Drosophila melanogaster: one gene and its partner. The protein of the gene in region 2 interacts with the protein of the main gene of each other region in a biochemical or structural test. Each region holds a gene or a part of one and is shown on either strand. Other genes may lie near its edges.

Region 1 (9,831 bases), 1.9 Mb from region 2:
ATTAACATCTTTACACACGGAGGCCCCCCCCCCTTTGGAAGTGTACACACCTTGCGGTTGGCATTTCCATTACATTGGGGGCTGTCCAATGACGATCGTTACCTCCATGATCATCGAACGGACCGACAAACGATCGATGCATTGCACTTACACAGAGGATCTACCCATCAAGAAAGTTAATCAGCGAAGATTTACTTATCATGATGGCATCAAGTCTTCAATCGGAAGAATCGGATTTACCTATCAATATCAATATGGTATCAAGAGTCCTACAATTGTGTTGTAGAGCACAAGGAGTAGATTTACTTATCAAAATATCAATAATGATTCTTCTATCGAAAAGAACCAATAAGACAATCATGGCTATTAATGAATGTTATTTGAAAATGGAATTTTTTGCGCTCATAATACGGAGAATTGGTCTAAGCTTTTCAAATTCGATAAGAATTGCGCATTTCTAGGTATTCTACTAGTTACCAGTTACAATTATTAAAATCTAAGTTATTTTGAAAGTAATTTTCAAAAGTGATTGATTTTACTTTGTACCAATTTTTTCTCCTTGTGCATGCCGCATTAGTTAGACTGCGGTTTCGGAACCCGTCGAGCAAGTCATGGGTTCCATGGGTTCCACAAGAAATACCAATACCTCAGCGAAGCCCTCTTCTGGCCAGACCGAACTCATGAATATTTTCAAACCAAATGCATTTCGCAAAACTCAAAATTATGCCAAGTATGCTGGGTCTGGTTATGGGCCTGGACCTGAGATTGATTCCCCAGGCACCAGGCGTTCAAACTGGAACCTAGTCCAGACTTTGGACAGACACCTGAGCCCCTGGCATGTTCCTCTGGTCGGGAGCGCAAATTAAAGCGATCGGCCAGACGTGGAGCATACAAATGAGATGGTGGAGCATCAGGGGAGAATCCGCAAAGGAAGTGGAGTGGCGAAGCCAAACGAAATGAAAAGGAAACTCCGAGAAGCCGACGTCGACGTTTTGCCCAATCTACAAGACGGATAATTGCACGGCCATTAACGCCGTCATTATCGACAGGGACAGAGTCACAAGTCCACTGGGCGACAGTGCGGCTCAAGAAAGTGGGAACTTAAAACTGGAACTGGGCCAAATGGGCAAGCAGAAGTAGTTCCCATACGTCATTGTAACTAACAACTAAAGAAAAATGTAGGTATTATCTAGCCAGCTAATATTTGTAACTGAAGTGTGCGCTGAAACATTTAGTTGATATACATTTATGAAGCACATGGTTTTAGCAGCGATTTCCGATTTCGAGCAAAACGCACTTTAATATCACATGTTCGGAAACATTGTGTACATACATACATACATATAGCCTTATCTGGGCAGCAAGTGCTCCATAAATTCATTCGCTGCAGCGACTGAACTCTACACTGAACTCGAAATAAATCAGCGGACCGTACAGTGCTGTCCCGATAAGGCGCCTAATCAGATAGGGGGCAGAAGGAGCTACAGCGCTCCTCCTTCTCCCCCCACCCCCTTCCGCTCATCATCGAGTGGCAGAGGCAAAAATAATTAAAAGAAATTCGTTGGCAATTCTCTTGTTCTTCGTTCCAGTTTTGCGTTGGTTCTTTTTATTAATATTTAATATTATCAATCTAGTTGTTTAGAGCAAACATTATGGCTAGGTTCTCCATACAAGTGTGTGAGGGGAGAGGGGGGGGGTGTTGTGTTATATATATATATATATATGTATGGATATATATTAGGCATAATTCATTTTCATTAGCAATTAAACATCATCTGGTTGGGCTCCCAGCGAGCGTACAATGGAATTTAAATAGATATAGAAATAGCATTAGGTATTATATTACGTATACGTACAGCTAAACCGCACTATGCCAACCGTGTGCGTGTGTTTCTCTCTATATGTATATATATCATATATCTGCGTATATGTTAGGCATATATAGGTGTGTGTGTATATATTTATAATGTATTATTCAATGCATGCGTGGCACTTTAGCACAGCTAAAATTGACGAAAAAAAAACGCTCTCTTCTGACTCCCGGATCTCTGCGACTACTATATCTTATAACTAGGATTGGTGAGGGCTATACTTCAAATAAATATTTACAAAGCAGGTGGCGCAGGAGGAGGCGGACTTCTTGGGCGTGCGTTCGAATAACCTTCTCCACTTTAAATGATCCTCTATGGAAGTACTACTCGTATCGGCTAGTACACTCAATGAAATAGTACGCAATAAAAAAAAAAAAAGAATTTATAAAATACATTATAAAATGGGCGGCGTGGGTGGTAGGTAGAGGGGTATCTTAGGTGGTGAGCGTGCGTGAAAGAGGATAATATCTAGCTATAGATAGATATAATTGTAGATGAGCTGCTGTTTCTCCACTACTGAGACGACACCGCCGGCGCCCGTTTGCTTTTGGCCACATGTGGCAAGGCAACAACGGGCTTGTTGTTGCTGGTGGAGCTGGTGGTAGTGGTGGTAGTGGTGCTAGTGGTGGTTCCAAATGGCGAACAGGCGTCACTGCTGCTGCCACCAGACTGCTCCACATTCGTGCCCATCGACGAGTTAATAAAATTGATGTACTGATGCAACTTGAGGGCGGCTATCAGGGAGCTCAGATAGTCGTTGATGTTGCCCTTCTGGACCTGCTTGATCTGTCGGGAGACATTTCGATAGACGCGACGCGAGATCTTATTGGATAGCCGTCCAACTGTCTGTACTGTGTGTAGGACTGGATCCTCGCTGGCGGGAACTGGCACTACAAGTAAATTGAGCAAAGGCAATCACCATTAACGAGGGAAGCAAGCAATTGTAATTTGAGTATTTGTTACGGGTTATAAACAAGTCATTGATTGATTAGTAACTTTGGCGCTGTGTGGGCTTGTGTGTGCTTACCATAAACTTGTTGAGTTCCCTATCGATAATGCCTACGATCTCTGGATTTCTTCTAACGTACTCAACAATTTCGGTTATGATTTTCAGGGACATGGACAGAAATACCGTCGAGGCGGCCACTAAGAATCTATCATCAATCTCTTGATCGTGATCCCGGTCGTAGCTCTCCCCAACAATAATAACTAACAAATGGCACAGAGAAAGAGAGATAGAGAGAGAGAGAGATATTAATTTAGAAAATAAGTGTCACTTTTTGGTGGGGGTTGGGTGGTTAATTAATGTTAGGGGCGGGGAAAGGACCAGGATCAGGATCTGGGTTTCGGAAATCCCAAGGCTAGCCAACATTTATCGCTCGACTCGAAATCGTAAATATTTCTGTATATTATATTCCCATTTTGTTCTCGTTTTGTGTGTGAAATTATCGCCATGCTTGATTAGTGTTCATGCTTTTTTATTTACTTGCTATTTTTATGCTTATTAGACGGTGTGTTAGTGGTAGACAAAGAAACAAACGATCGAACGAACAAAAGATCGGATCGGGGATCGGGAACTTACTGTCATTTTCAGAACTCTTGCCATTCTGCACGACGGCATTTTGTTTATCATCTGAGAATTAAAAATATTTACGATTTATATTTAGAATTTTGTTTACACACCGCGCAAAAAAAAGTGAGGGCAGCAGAAGGCAAACAAGCTAATTTTAAATTTTTGTGCCAACAGATGAAAAATGGTACGGAGCCAATAAATAATGTTCTCCACCATCATCCAGAGTTCTTAAATAAAACTGAATTCTAAACTTATTCGCTCTGAAGACAGTATTTTTAATTTTTAGAAAGAAGTGTCAAAGAGAATATATATAAAAATTATAATGGAAGTACGACAGGACAAGACTATTAATTCAAGTGAAGTCAAAATGATCTTATGAATTTGATATTAAATAAATTAAAAAAGTAGTTTTAAACGTAATGAAATGTACAACAAGATTTCAATTAAGTTGCATCAACTAACTTATATTATATTAAATTTTACGTCATGGCAATTGAGAGATTCCAAGTGAAACCACTGTTCTACGGCTCCAATGAACAAATATATAAACAAAAGTACCCTAACATTGTGACCTACTTTTTTGTAACTCTACCGTCAACACTCACCATTATCTTCCTCGACATCCGACTCGCACTTGGGGAAGTAGTATTCAAGGAGGCGCTCGGCCAGCGCCGTGGTGGTGTCCACTCCGTTGACAGCCAGACTGCCGTACTGGGTGGCCAGCACCTCGTTGGCCTTCTGCCAGGCGAGATCCTTCAGCGAGGCGGCCTTCTGCTGACCAGCTGCCTTGAACTTGACGACGCGCTCCAGATGGGGCTGCACCACATCGATCACCTTGCTCTTGGCCTGGTTGTAGATCTCCTGGGGTGTGTCCTTGATGATCGGCGCCTTTACCTCAAGCTTATCGATGCCCTTGACCAGGGTCTGGTCCACATAGGCGATGGGTCGGTCCAGTTTGGTGACGAAGGGAGCCGCCGTTGTCACCGCGCGCGTCACACAATCCTCGGCCGCCGTTAAAGCCCATTCGAAGACACGATTTTTGCCTGAAAATATGAGTAGTTCACATTACGATGAAAAATACGGATTGGAAATTATATGTCTTAGTATAAGTTTAATTTAAAAGTTAACAGCCTGTTTAATTTAGAGATCTAGAACTTCTAGAATTTCTAGAATTGTGTAGTAATACCCCACACATGTGACACAAGTACGAAGAGCGCGCTTATCAGTTGCAACCGTAATAATAATAACAATAACAATAATAATAGTAATAATAAATATGTAGCATTTCTGGCTGATAAGCAACTGCGCAGTTCACGAACCCCAGGGCCCCTTGGACCCCTACATTCTATCTGTCTGGGGCCCGCCAGTTTAGACTTTGATAGTTCGTCACTCGTCAAACACATCATCCATTCCAATTCCAGTCCCAGCAACTGCAGCAACAACAACTGCGAAATATCACAAACAAGTCGAAAGTCCAACTAGAATTTTTGTTGTCGTTGCTGCTGACGGTGAGACCCCAAGAGCCCCTTAGCATAAGTGCTGCCCGCTTTAGTTAGTTTCCAGCCAAATCTAGCTTTATTCGACAGCGGTAATTGGTATTGTCTAGTAAATGCATTAAGTATTTGTTTTTTCAGGGATCTGTGCTTTTACGATCGGCAAACTTAGGCTGGGATCAATATTGAGAAGAAAACTAGTAACATTATTTTAGCTATAATTAAAGTGCAAGTTTAGCTTAACTTTTGGTCAGATCGAGCAGCACTGCCAGTGCCAGTGGCGTTGCCATTGGGTCTGCTTTGCTTTTCCTCTTGTCAAAACGAGCCCCCTTTTGTTGACGGCGCCTCTGCGGCTGCAGCCTACGTGCGGTGGCCTTTTTGCCGTCAGCCACCGCTCTCTCTCTCCTCACTCTATCTCTCTTGCGCTCTCTATTGCGTTGGCCAAGATTGTTTTATTATTATGTAAATTTTAAGCGAACTTTGAACGCAACGCGTCACGAGGGCAAAGTGCCGGCCTTTTTGCTTTTCTTATTGCTAGGTCATGGTTGTTGTTGCTGTGATTTCGATTATTGAACGACCGGCAATCAATTTATATCAATTGAGCTTAATTTCTGGCCAATTAAACGAAAAAAAAGTTGAACAAAAAAAAGTTGTTTCTGCCCTCTATGTGCGTTTCGAGTTCGAATTGCAACTCGAAATAAAATGGCGAAGCAAAGTCAAAAAAGCAACGGTTTCGGTTTCGATTACGGCTTCGAGTGCATATGGTCGCTGCAATTGTTGTTGCTATTTACCTCCTCCTTCACCGGTCGTTTATTCTCTATATGTGCCGTTAGGCGCGCCAAAGTAACGGGACTTGAGCGAGTTCAATGCACCCGGAGGAGGTCTTATTTTCATTTTCTTCTGTTTTCCTTTGCTGCACTTACCTTTTACTTTGCCATAGACATCCTGGGACTTGTCCCATGCCGCATTTACCACGGGCAATTTGATGATCCTCTCGAGGGACTCAAGGTGCGGCAGAAGGTCCTTGGCATCCTTGGGCTGGTCCACATCGTTCATCGCCGTTCCATTGCCAGTTGTTCCGTTCCCGGTGGCGTGTTTCTGCTCTGCACTGGCCATGATCAGTTTTCTTTGGTTCCTCTTGCGCTGCTTTCTGCTGCCCTTTTCACTTTTTCTTTCTGTCTTTCGCTATCAAGCTCTTCCGCTTGCCACCGCACTTTTCTTTTCGCCTCTTGCTTCTTTTCTTTCACGAACAAAAAAACAGCTTAACCTGCGAGTGAGTGTGTGAATGTAGGGTATGCGTGTGTCTGCGTTCTGGAAGCACTCTGTTTTATTTTATTCCTAGCACTTTTTGGCACGTCTGCTCACGTCTGCTCGTTGGGACTCTCTGACTGATTTGCGAGCTGCGCGGCTGGTTTATTATATGAGCGAGTGCCGCCGCCAGTGTTGCCAGCGCCGAGCAACAAAAAGCTATGAGCAACAGTGATGCCGCAGGTGGCAAGAAGTGGATGAGGAAATTTTAGTCAAATAGCTAAAAAGTACAGTTTTTACCAATAGAGCTTACTTTTTGTTCAAACCGCAGTGTGTTTTTTCCAAGATTTATGCCTAGTCAAGGGTCATGTGGCTATAATACACTTTGTATTATTAAAATTTAACCATGAGCTTTGACAAGCACGATTACTACAAAATATAATTATAATATTAAAATCTTCGAACTTGTGTACTTAACCATACACAAATTTGTTTATCAAAAATGTTGAGTAATAAATAATAATAATGTAATAAAATATCGCAGACAGTGAAAAAACAGTGCTAAACAAATAAAAAGGTTAAAATAACCAAATAATATAAATGAGCTTAGGAACATTTCTTTGCAACATATATCTTGAAAATAGCTAGATCGTTTGCTGCTGTAAGATAGCTTCGCTGCGAAGAGAGCAGAGCGCCAAAGCAGTATCAGCGAGAGTTTGAGATTAGGACTCTCTTTGAGGACCCCATATACAGTTTGTCAAGAAACTGTTTACATACTGTGAAATAAGTTGAATTTTTGACTTTAAAGCTAAAATTAAAGGTTTTTTGCTTAATTAAACGCAATTTTTTTTATAAAATTTAATTAAACAATATTTATTTTACTTATAAATCAAAAAACAAATATTAAAATATTAAATATACAAGAAAATAAACAACATAATCCAAGTTTACACACCTTTGAGACTGTCAAGAAACTCTTTACACATTTTGTTTTCCTACTTTGTTTTGTTCTTTTTCTTAGAACGAACTCGATTTTTCCGTTATTTTTGGCTTTGCATTGCTTTTTACAACGCTTCTAATGAAATTTGTTTGACTTTGCTTGAAGCGAATTATTATTTTATATTTAATTAAATTATATTTAATTTATTTTTTGATTTATAAGTAAAATAAATACTGTTTAATTTTATTTTATACAAAAATTGCGTTTAATTAAGCAAAAAACACTTAATTTTTAGCTTTAAAGTCAAAAATTCAACTTATTTCACAGTGTGTAAACAGTTTCTTGACAAACTGTAATTATAATATGAATAAATGTACTATAGTTTTTGAACAGTACACTTAAATTGTTATGATGAATTATTATAGTACAAACGCTTTGTTTGAAATAAGTACAATTGTGTACTATATCTGTTTTAAATGAAACTTAAAATAGTTTTGAAACAATTTTCATTATCTTTATTTTCGAGGTAAAACATAATTAGAAAATCAGGTGAAAGAATGTACCATTATCAAATTATAAACAATTCTTCTATCATGATCAAACTAATTTTGATCATTTTTTCCCGATCTATGCAGAGTTCATAGTGCAATTCTTCTGTGTTGTCCTTGGAGGGGGGTCCAATTATTCTGTTCAGAAAACAAGAGAGCTGAAGAGAAAGAAAGAAATTTGGGAAAAGAAGAGAGACAGTGCCTACGTTTGTTCGGCATGCTTGACAACTAGATTAATTAATACGTTGTGTCGGGCGCAAACAAAGTTTAGATTGAAGTACATTGCAATATATATTTATGTACATATATGTGCATACGTACATATGTATTTCTGTGTATGGGGGCACTTCGATTATCAATGGCCAATGGGCAACGCCACGCAAAAGCTTCGTGCGACCTTTGAACCCCTGCCACCGCATCGATAATACGCCATTGCACAGTCAAACATCTACATTCAGTATTCTACGTAATACTTGCCGAATGCTGTGTAATTCGCTTGGCAATCCAAAGTCCGATTAGTGACAAAACGAAAACAAATTACGAAAACTACAAGCGCGAAACGTGCTAAGTTAACCCCTAAAACGAAGCACCATCCTCCTTTTTTTTTAAACCATCCATCAGCACGTTTTTAGTCCCTAAAATCTACAATAAGTTCATAAAGGAATAATTTCCTTGAGTTAGATGAAGAGTTAATGAAAACTTTGGAAAATAACCTTATTCGCTTGGATTTCAATTAGATCCCAAAAAACCCAAGGGATCAAAATATTCTCCATCTTTCGAAACACCTAGATTCCAAAAATCCAAAATGGGTTAATGCCCCTCAGTGAATTATGAGCTATATAAGGCAATTATGTCTGTCTGATAAGGCTTAACCGCTAATGCGCATATTAACCAGGCCCACGAGTTGGGAAGGTTACCAATGGCTAGTCGTCCGTAGTTCCAAAGTCCGGAGATGTCGTCACAACACTGTTTATGTTGTAACCAAGAGCAGGTGTTGGACTTATCGTCACTACTTGGTCCGGGTTCCGATCGGCGATATCGGACGTAAATAAACCAATGTAACCGATTCGTTCAGTTTGTTGTACTTATTTTAGTTTTTTATGTGGACTTTGTAGGCGTGGTATCTGGAAATTACAGTAAACGAAGGAAATCACTTCAACCATGTTTACCTAACTGATTTCACTAGCTGATAATGAAGATTACTGGAATGAATAAATATTGGACGGTTTGTAACGAGTATATTACGAAGCTATTTCATATTTTCTTTTTACAGATAAATAGGTTGATCAAGGTGAATAATTTTGAAATGAAATGTTAAGATTAAATTACGTTTTAGTAGGTTGAGCAAAAAAGTATTTATAATTAAAAAAAAAAAAAACTGTTGGAAATGCTCAAATCATTGATTTCCTCAGCTTTTTATATGGATGTACATATGTATGTATATACATCAACAGAAGTTATATGGAATCGGAATAATCCGCTCAAGACCTGCATATAGAGCCGATTAGCAGTTGGCCGCACGTAGACAAGCCCCAGACCGAATACTATATGCTCAACAGTGTATGTATACATATATAAATGTATATACATATGAATATATGTATATATACATACATACATATATATACCGTTATCGAGACCCAAAGCGTGTCCGTCTGCGGGTATTTTCCCAAACGGTTGAGCCTAGAATTTCATTGGATTCCGGTATTTTGGCACCTAGTGCCAAATTTTAGAAGCCTCGGCATGATCTATATATAGAAGGAGGAAACATTCAGGTAATGATGGCATATATTGGACTTTGGATCAGCGGCGTGAGTGAGTTCCTCTATATACACATGTATGTACACACATGTGAAAGGCGAATGAGTCGCTTGCTGATTATATTAAGTTTTTATTTCCTTTTTTTTTTCGTACTGCTTTCTAGATGGATTGTACTTTGCAGATAAGGGCGTTTTGAATACTTTTTTTTTATACGCTGCTTCATTCATTTAATGCCTTTGTTTTATAATTGTCGCCGGTTATCGTTATGATGTATAAGCCTTTAAGCCACCTATTAAACGAAGTTCGCCATGCTTATCGCAATCTAGTGACACACGGGTTCAAATTGCTCGAGAGTCCAATTGCAGAGGCGATTAAATTTTTGAGATTCATTGAAATG
Region 2 (7,435 bases):
CAGTTGGCCCACAATCTTTTAGTTAAATGCGATTAAAGACGGCTCGAAGACATTAGAATTACTGGTTATAAATAAACATGCTGACTCATGGGTTAGCAAACTGTCATCTTCTGGCTTTATTGCTTTTCAATGCCGTGAGTAATGCAATAGCGATGGAGTATCGTTAAAATGATTAGAACAGGTCGGACCACACCGCATGTGGATAATGAACGTGATAATGATCATGATCGCGGCTATATTATTGGGCCTGGGCGACCGCAAAAGAGAACCACAGTCGCAGACAAGAGAAACCTTCGGGCTAAACGAGTTTTCGCAACCAGAGAAACCAAATAAAATCAAAATCAAATTCAAATTCAAATGCAAATACAAATACAAAAGCCAGCAATTTACAACAAATGCAGTTCAAGGTCGCCACAAACGATGTGAAAACTCTGCAGCGCAGAATCGAAAAAAAAAATACAATACTAAAAAGAGAGCGATAAGCTTACAATATAATCTATTATCAACGCATCTAACGTAGGGCTATCAGTGAAAAATGAAATATTTGTATGCATATGTACATACATATCTACTGCCTGCAATGCACATACAATAAAGACAAATTGAAAGTAACTAGCAGAGTACCTCCTGTACACTTTAAAGTTCCTTTAAATAATCTTCACGCTGCATTTTGCTATATCTCCAGGTAACATGGCTGCCTATATAAAAATGCATTTAAAACTGCGTGTGCGTCAGTTTACTGAGGCGTAATAGACTGGAACAAAGAAGGCGCCTGGAGCGGAAAATAAAAGAAAGAAATCGAAATCGAATCGAACTGAACTGAACTGAAATGCACTATACAGAAATGCCTCTATACTATGCCAGGAGGAAGAACGCCAGAGAAGAGGCCACCTCATCGGTTCCTGAATCACAGTGGATTATTCAGGAGCGGTACACTCAATTCTACAGGCACGATCACAAAAAGAGATCAAATGTGTGTAACAATATGATATAAAGATCACTTTTTAAACAATAATTACAAAAGTAAATACAATGTTTCCTAAAGTTTTTAGCAAAAGTACTCAATTAAACTCTCAACAAGACGTCATCAAAAGGTGACTGAATCGAAAATATATGCATAATTTAAACGATATTAAACTTGACTGCAAACATCATACGTAATTACAGCTTCCAATGAATTGTGCATATTTTTCGAACCAATAAATCTTGGTCATTCGCCCTTAGCATGGAAATTAATTATGGCACCCACTGTTGTACTGAAAATTTCTCGATGAAAAGAGGAAACAAAATTTAAAGGCTCAAATGCGGCAACACGATCGTTACAAAGAGCATTTCTGATTTCTGCAAGGGTAGGTGGTGGGCGATCGAGGGCATATAAATCTTGATAAATACGGACAACCACACCCACACCTTTTGTAAAATATTATATATATTTATGCCCAAAAATGTGTCAGCTGTTTGCTCCTTTTGCACAATGAAACGAGAGCGAAAGCGGAAAAAGAAACAAGACATCTGTGTGCGCCTAGAATGAGGTGGATATCCAACAAAGATAAGAAAGAAAGACTAAATTCGCAGAATGTGCAAGCGATTTGTACAAAAATTTTGTGTAATAATACATGAGTTTCCCAAGTTTGAATCATTTCTATTGAGACACACGACACGAGGCAAATGTCTTCGCACTTTGAGACCAGAATAGCCTCTATAAGGCGAACCAGCCAGAGATATGTATAAACGCTGAAAATCGACAAAAACTGGACACGTCAGGCGGTCGAGAAGACCTCCGCGGATGTGCACCTGGACCAGATAAACGCAGGTTGAATAAACTGCCTCCAAATACATATTTCTGTATATTTAATATTTAACTCTCTGGCTTATCAGTCCGGCAAGCAGCGAAGTCTGGCGATGCGATTCGTCTCCGTTCTCTGCGAAATCCGGCTGTCCACCTCATCTGTATCTGTGGCATTCGTCATTGTGCATCGGGATTCGAGTATAGTAGTCTACGTACAATTAGACAGCAGGCAAATATCAGCGGAACGGATATATGTATGTACAGGGGGTATGGTATGGTATGGTATATGCCCATGGAAACATAACAACATTGGTACCCATGCCCTCCATATGCTTAGCAGCTGATAAGGAACGATAAGAGCCATGAGATGGGGTAAAAACCCGATTAGCAAAAGCGGAAAGCAAACATTGTTTGAGTAATTGGCAAAAATATTCGCTATGACAAGAACGGATTACTCAATGAAGCCGGGAAATGAGGAGGGTTCTTGAAGGAGCTACACTGGAAATGATTTCCATTACCTACTATTTGTTTTACAAATTGGTCATAATATCAATATATTTTTGTATTGTATATTTCCATCCTTGGCATACAAACAAATAGTTTCTCGCGTGGAAAATTGCAACTCCTCTCGTTTTATTTCTCAATTTCCTATTAAATCAATATTTTATTAACAGAAAGTCGTCGACAAATTTGAGAGGCTTCAAGTGCTTTCCTAGGAATCTAGATTCTCCCAATTTGTTTGTTTCAATAGTCGCACATTTGCCCCTCCAGCTTCGGATAATGTTCACTTCTGGTGGAATTAGGTGCAAAACGAGTTTGTTTACTTAATTCATTTGTTGCCAGGCCGGGCTTGAGCCATTGTTGGATCAACTTGCAAACACTGGGCCAAAATGAGTGCAGGTAATTTAAAATTGCCACAAAAAATGTCATTCATTTTGAACTTGAATATGAAAATATTTGCTTATGCTAGTATTTAGAGATCTTCTATCTTCTCTGATAGGAATTGAAACATTCGATTGCCCATTTGAAAAAGAGCCTGAATTAATTTTTGTGTTAATTCAATCAGAAGATTTCTCACAGTGTACGATGAGAGTGCATAAAAGGCGAGACAGGTAGAAAACCGAGAAGGTGGCGATTTTCGAGCTGGCAAACTTGAAACTTGGCTGGCCAATTGAAAGGAAAACTTGGCGCAGCAAGGCACGGCGCCGAGGAAAAACAAATTCGCGGAAATGTGAAATAGACGAAACGTGAGAACAGCAACAAAGTCAACAAAAGCGTGCAATTGCTCAATGGCAATAAACAAAAGACGAAAGCAGAACAAAAATAGTACTAAAACACACGGCGAATAATGATAATTCAAGAGCGAGAGTTTTTAATGGGATTCGGCCAACTTTTGACGCCCCATCGATTTGGCATTGTGGTAGTTACCATTATTTGTTTACCATTATTTTTAATCGAAAAAGTGGTGTATCCTATTTGAAAACTTTTTTTTTGAAATTAACCTTTCTTGGAATTGAAAACAATCCGATTGCACTCTTTTCTATTGGATTGATCAATGCCTATATATGTATCATTAATATCTCTATACAGGGTCTGCCTGCGTAATTTTGAGTTCTGATGTATGGGGTCATACCAGAAACTAGCTGTTTCCCGAGCGCAATAAAACTAGTTATTAGATCTTTTAGCCCTTCCCGCAGATTCCTACGATCAAGGATTGTGACTATGACTATGCGATGACTGTGCATCTCGACTCACCTTTAACTGTAGCGCTAGTCTGGTAATCAAAATACTTGGGAGACTCGCGCTTTAAGAACTCGATGATATCGGAGCGGTCTAGTGTGCCCGCCTGGCGCTTGAGGCGCCACTCCTTGAGCGGCGAACTGCACTCGGCAGGGGGCGCCACAACGACGTCCTCCATGTCGTAGCGATCCATCGTTGCTCTCGCTTGCACTCGCACTGTCTCCTCTCTTTTTCTCTTTCCTGGTGAGGATGAGAAAAACAAAATAATTGCAGCGGGGCTGTGTATGTTCGTGTGTGCGATGGGGACGTCTCGCTCTCTATCTTTCTTCCTTTCTCTATCGTCCGTGTGTCCTTGCTATTCCTGCGACAGTAGTTGTTGTTGCTGATGTTGTTGTTGCATTGGTTGTCACATGTGTTTTTTGCGAAAAGCAAAAAAAACGGGATTAGGTTAGGATGCGGGACAACAAAAATGTTCGATTGCGCTCTCGCTCTCATGTCGTAGAAGAATTTTCGATTCTTGTTTTGGAGCACAGACACTTACTTGTTAATAAAGAAATTATATTTTTACAACAGTGTCGAAATTTACAAAAGCTGACAATTCAATCGAGGAAAAATTTGTGTACGAATGGCGAGGAAACACTTAGTGTGCAGCTGTTGCTTTGCACTTTTTCCTTTGTATCAGCCAGTTGTGATTTTTTTTATTTCATTTTTGACAGCAAGCAAAAGCAAAAAAAAAAGAGAGACGGAGCGCATGGCAAAACGCGAGAAACAGTAACTTCAAACACACGCACACACATGCACGGCCACGGGCACTATTTTTGGTTTTATTATATTTTTATAATAATCGTTTATTATCTACAATTTTCCTTTTGGTTGCCTTTACGTGCGCTTAGCACCTTAAAAAAATAGCTTCTCTTTTTCTTTATTTTTCACTTTCTGACAATCACACACACGAACACGCACACCAACTTAAATTCACTCTACTGCGTTTCGCTTTCGTTTTCTTATTTTCCCAAACTTTTGCACGTACCTATTTCTTTTTTTGTTTGGCTCGTGGTGTATTCACGAGCAATTTAGACCTGTGTTGTTAGTTAAATCTACTTATTTCAACTGGCACAACGAAGATTCGTCTGCCAATTTCGTAACCTAAACGCAAAAAAACAAGACTGTCATCGATATAAGCAGGCGTTTTATGTCTGCGTCTATCGGGCAATACGGTACGTCGATATCTGGTCGTGCTAACATCGATAGCATGCGAGCGGTAATAGTGAGTGCACACTACGAAGTTGCTCATCAATCGCTATCGATAAGAAATCCATTTTCCGCCATTCAGTTATGTATATGGTAATTGAAATTGTTTTCCATTTGTCAAAATAAAACTAAAGATGATTTCAAATTGTTTGCCTAATGTACACGCTGTATTTACGTTTAGACACTAATTGCAATAAGCAATAGTACATTTTAGGTAAATGTTGTAGTGAAAAAAACCAAATATATCTAAAAGGGATACAATCAATTAAAGACCCAGATTAATTTAAAAGCCCCGAATGCAAAAAACAACAAAATATCAAAACCAGATTTTTCTATTTAATCTTACATACACACAAAAATGTCTTTATTGTTTCGCTTTTTTGGTTTTTTAGTTGCTTTGGATCGCTTTGTTGGTATACTTGTGTCTGTTTGTTGGAAATACATAGTTTTGTTCGTTTTTTCGCTATATCTATTTGGATTCGGTTCGATTTCGGCTTTGAATACTTTATGCTGAGATGTTGTTTTGAAACCAAATCACTTCGTTCAATACTGTCCAGTTTTGGTCTTTTTTGTGTTAGATGGTGTGGTTTCTGTGCTCAACTAAATAATCAGGCATGCTCCGGTAGTCGTAATTTTGTTTCGATTTCGATTTGGGAAAAATCTTTCGATTTCGTTATTAGGTGCTCCGGTTTTGTAAATAGCATTATTTACAAACAACACTTTTGGCCATCCTCTAGATAAGTTATTGAATTCTTTGATATTGTATCTGCCTGTTTCGTTTCACCAACAATATGGAATTCTTCCCAAAAACACTTGTCGATGTACCTATAACTCCTTGCCAAATCGAAACTTTTTGTTGCCGAAGGCAAAATTCTGTTTGACCAATGTTGAGGTGTGGTCAGAAATAAAATTTTTATAAAATAACTAAGTGGCAAAATGATCTTGTGGTGATGTGAAATAAACATCAATAGACCACTGAGTAAACTATTATTTGCCCTTTTGAAAATAAGATCTGATTTGCTAAAAAAAAAAGGCATTTACTTTTCATTTCGGATAGACAAAAGTGTCCGTTTTACAAATCGAAAACTTTCTTACGATTTCGAAAACCGGAGCACAGATTTTTCAAAATAGTTAAATTTGTACGAATTTGATTACCGGAGCATGCCGGAATATGTGGGTTTTCCATCGTTTCCTTTGTACTTTAGGGAAATGAGTTGTATGTTGCAGTTTGTATTTGTTGTTAGCTTTGCGTTTACATTATTTGGTTCCACGTAGTTAATGGCTTTTTGTCGCTTTGGTAGCTTGGAATACATTAAATTCTGCCTTAGCACAATTACATATATAGTTTTCCTTTAGTTTATTATAGAATTGTTGTTTTAAACATTTATAAATATGCATTTATCGTTTAGTTAAGTTTAACATTCATATTTATTCTCGGGTCTGTTTTTGGGCATTCTCTTCATTTGGTTTAGTTAACTTGGGTTTCAAGTGGCTGCGACCCCCCATCGTGTACAACATTTAAAGCTTGACTATATTGTTTTATTTGGATTTCTTAGTTTTAGTTGGATTCCGGAAGTCGGGGGCCTCTCGTCGGTCCCACTACAATAAAATTTCAATTTCAATTTCGATTTCGCTTATTGACGCAACATTTAACACCTAGGCTTTTGACAAGTAAATTCCATTTCAAATATGGAATTCGCAACTTCCTCCTTCCGTTTAATGTTAATGGTAAAAAAATCTAAAAAAAATTGTTTCGCCACTTGTTTTTTTTTCTTGGTTTAGTTCTCGCTAAAGCACACCAATTCCCCCCACATATGTACATATATACATATGTATAAAACATATGTGTCCTGATCCAATGCGATCGATATACATAGGGGGCTTTGCAAGCCTGGGACTTGTCTTTAGTGTGGCACAATCTACGCTCCATCCACTCTCCATATATATATTTAGATTAAAAATTAGATCTGTTTTGGATGCTAGACAGCTGGAAATACCCTGTATCCACAGCATTGAACGTCGAATGAATATGAAGATTAAAGCTTTTGCACACCGAAAGTCGGGAGAGAAGAATCGCATTCGCGATCACGATCGGGATCGGGATGAGTATCAATGGAGTACAGGGTATTTTATAGTCGCCTACTCTCGACTATCACAAACATTCAATGGGGCATTAAGCTTTCAATTCTCCTCTCCAAATTTTTCATGACTACTCACAAACACTTGTTGGCTATTTAAAAGATATTTCCACCATCTTTCATTTGGACTGATTTGTGCAATTGTTTCAATAAGTTTCGAATTCGATTAGCGCGCTCAATTTCGCTTTCACATCTCATTTAAAATTTAATCGTTAATATATACAAAAAAAATAACGTTCAGTCAATTATAACTATATGTTTATACACATCGAAACGAACACGTAAAGAAACAACAATGAGGTCTAAACGAATTACATGCACCATGACACACACATATCGCGCTGCATTCGCCATGCGCCATTAGCAATTAGGTAAATGTAAATCCCCTACATTTGTATCCTTACGTCAAGGACATCGACATCTCGCCGGCATGTTACACCATCGTCACCCCTCTCGCTCCGTCAGTTTGGTTAATTATTTAATACACATATGTTAATAATCAGTCGCATAAATGAAT

Evidence for each region. The genes of interacting proteins can lie anywhere in the genome.
Region 1: the proteins of Ubr1 (region 2) and Lsd-2 form a complex in vitro, tested with the Drosophila melanogaster proteins (one study listed by BioGRID).

What each region holds. Positions count from the first base shown.
Region 1 is NC_004354.4:15,069,888-15,079,718, forward strand, and holds Lsd-2 (lipid storage droplet-2), read right to left. Parts: upstream 6,334-9,831; 5' UTR 6,054-6,333; coding exon 5,861-6,053; intron 4,488-5,860; coding exon 4,050-4,487; intron 3,505-4,049; coding exon 3,454-3,504; intron 3,081-3,453; coding exon of another isoform or gene 2,899-3,080; intron 2,762-2,898; coding exon 2,385-2,761; 3' UTR 1,576-2,384; downstream 1-1,575. UniProt on the Drosophila melanogaster protein: Essential for embryogenesis. Required for normal deposition of neutral lipids in the oocyte.
Region 2 is NC_004354.4:16,963,951-16,971,385, forward strand, and holds the start of Ubr1 (Ubr1 ubiquitin ligase), read right to left. Parts: upstream 4,730-7,435; 5' UTR 4,560-4,729; intron 3,912-4,559; 5' UTR 3,723-3,911; coding exon 3,545-3,722; intron 1-3,544. UniProt on the Drosophila melanogaster protein: E3 ubiquitin-protein ligase which is a component of the N-end rule pathway. Recognizes and binds to proteins bearing specific N-terminal residues that are destabilizing according to the N-end rule, leading to their ubiquitination and subsequent degradation.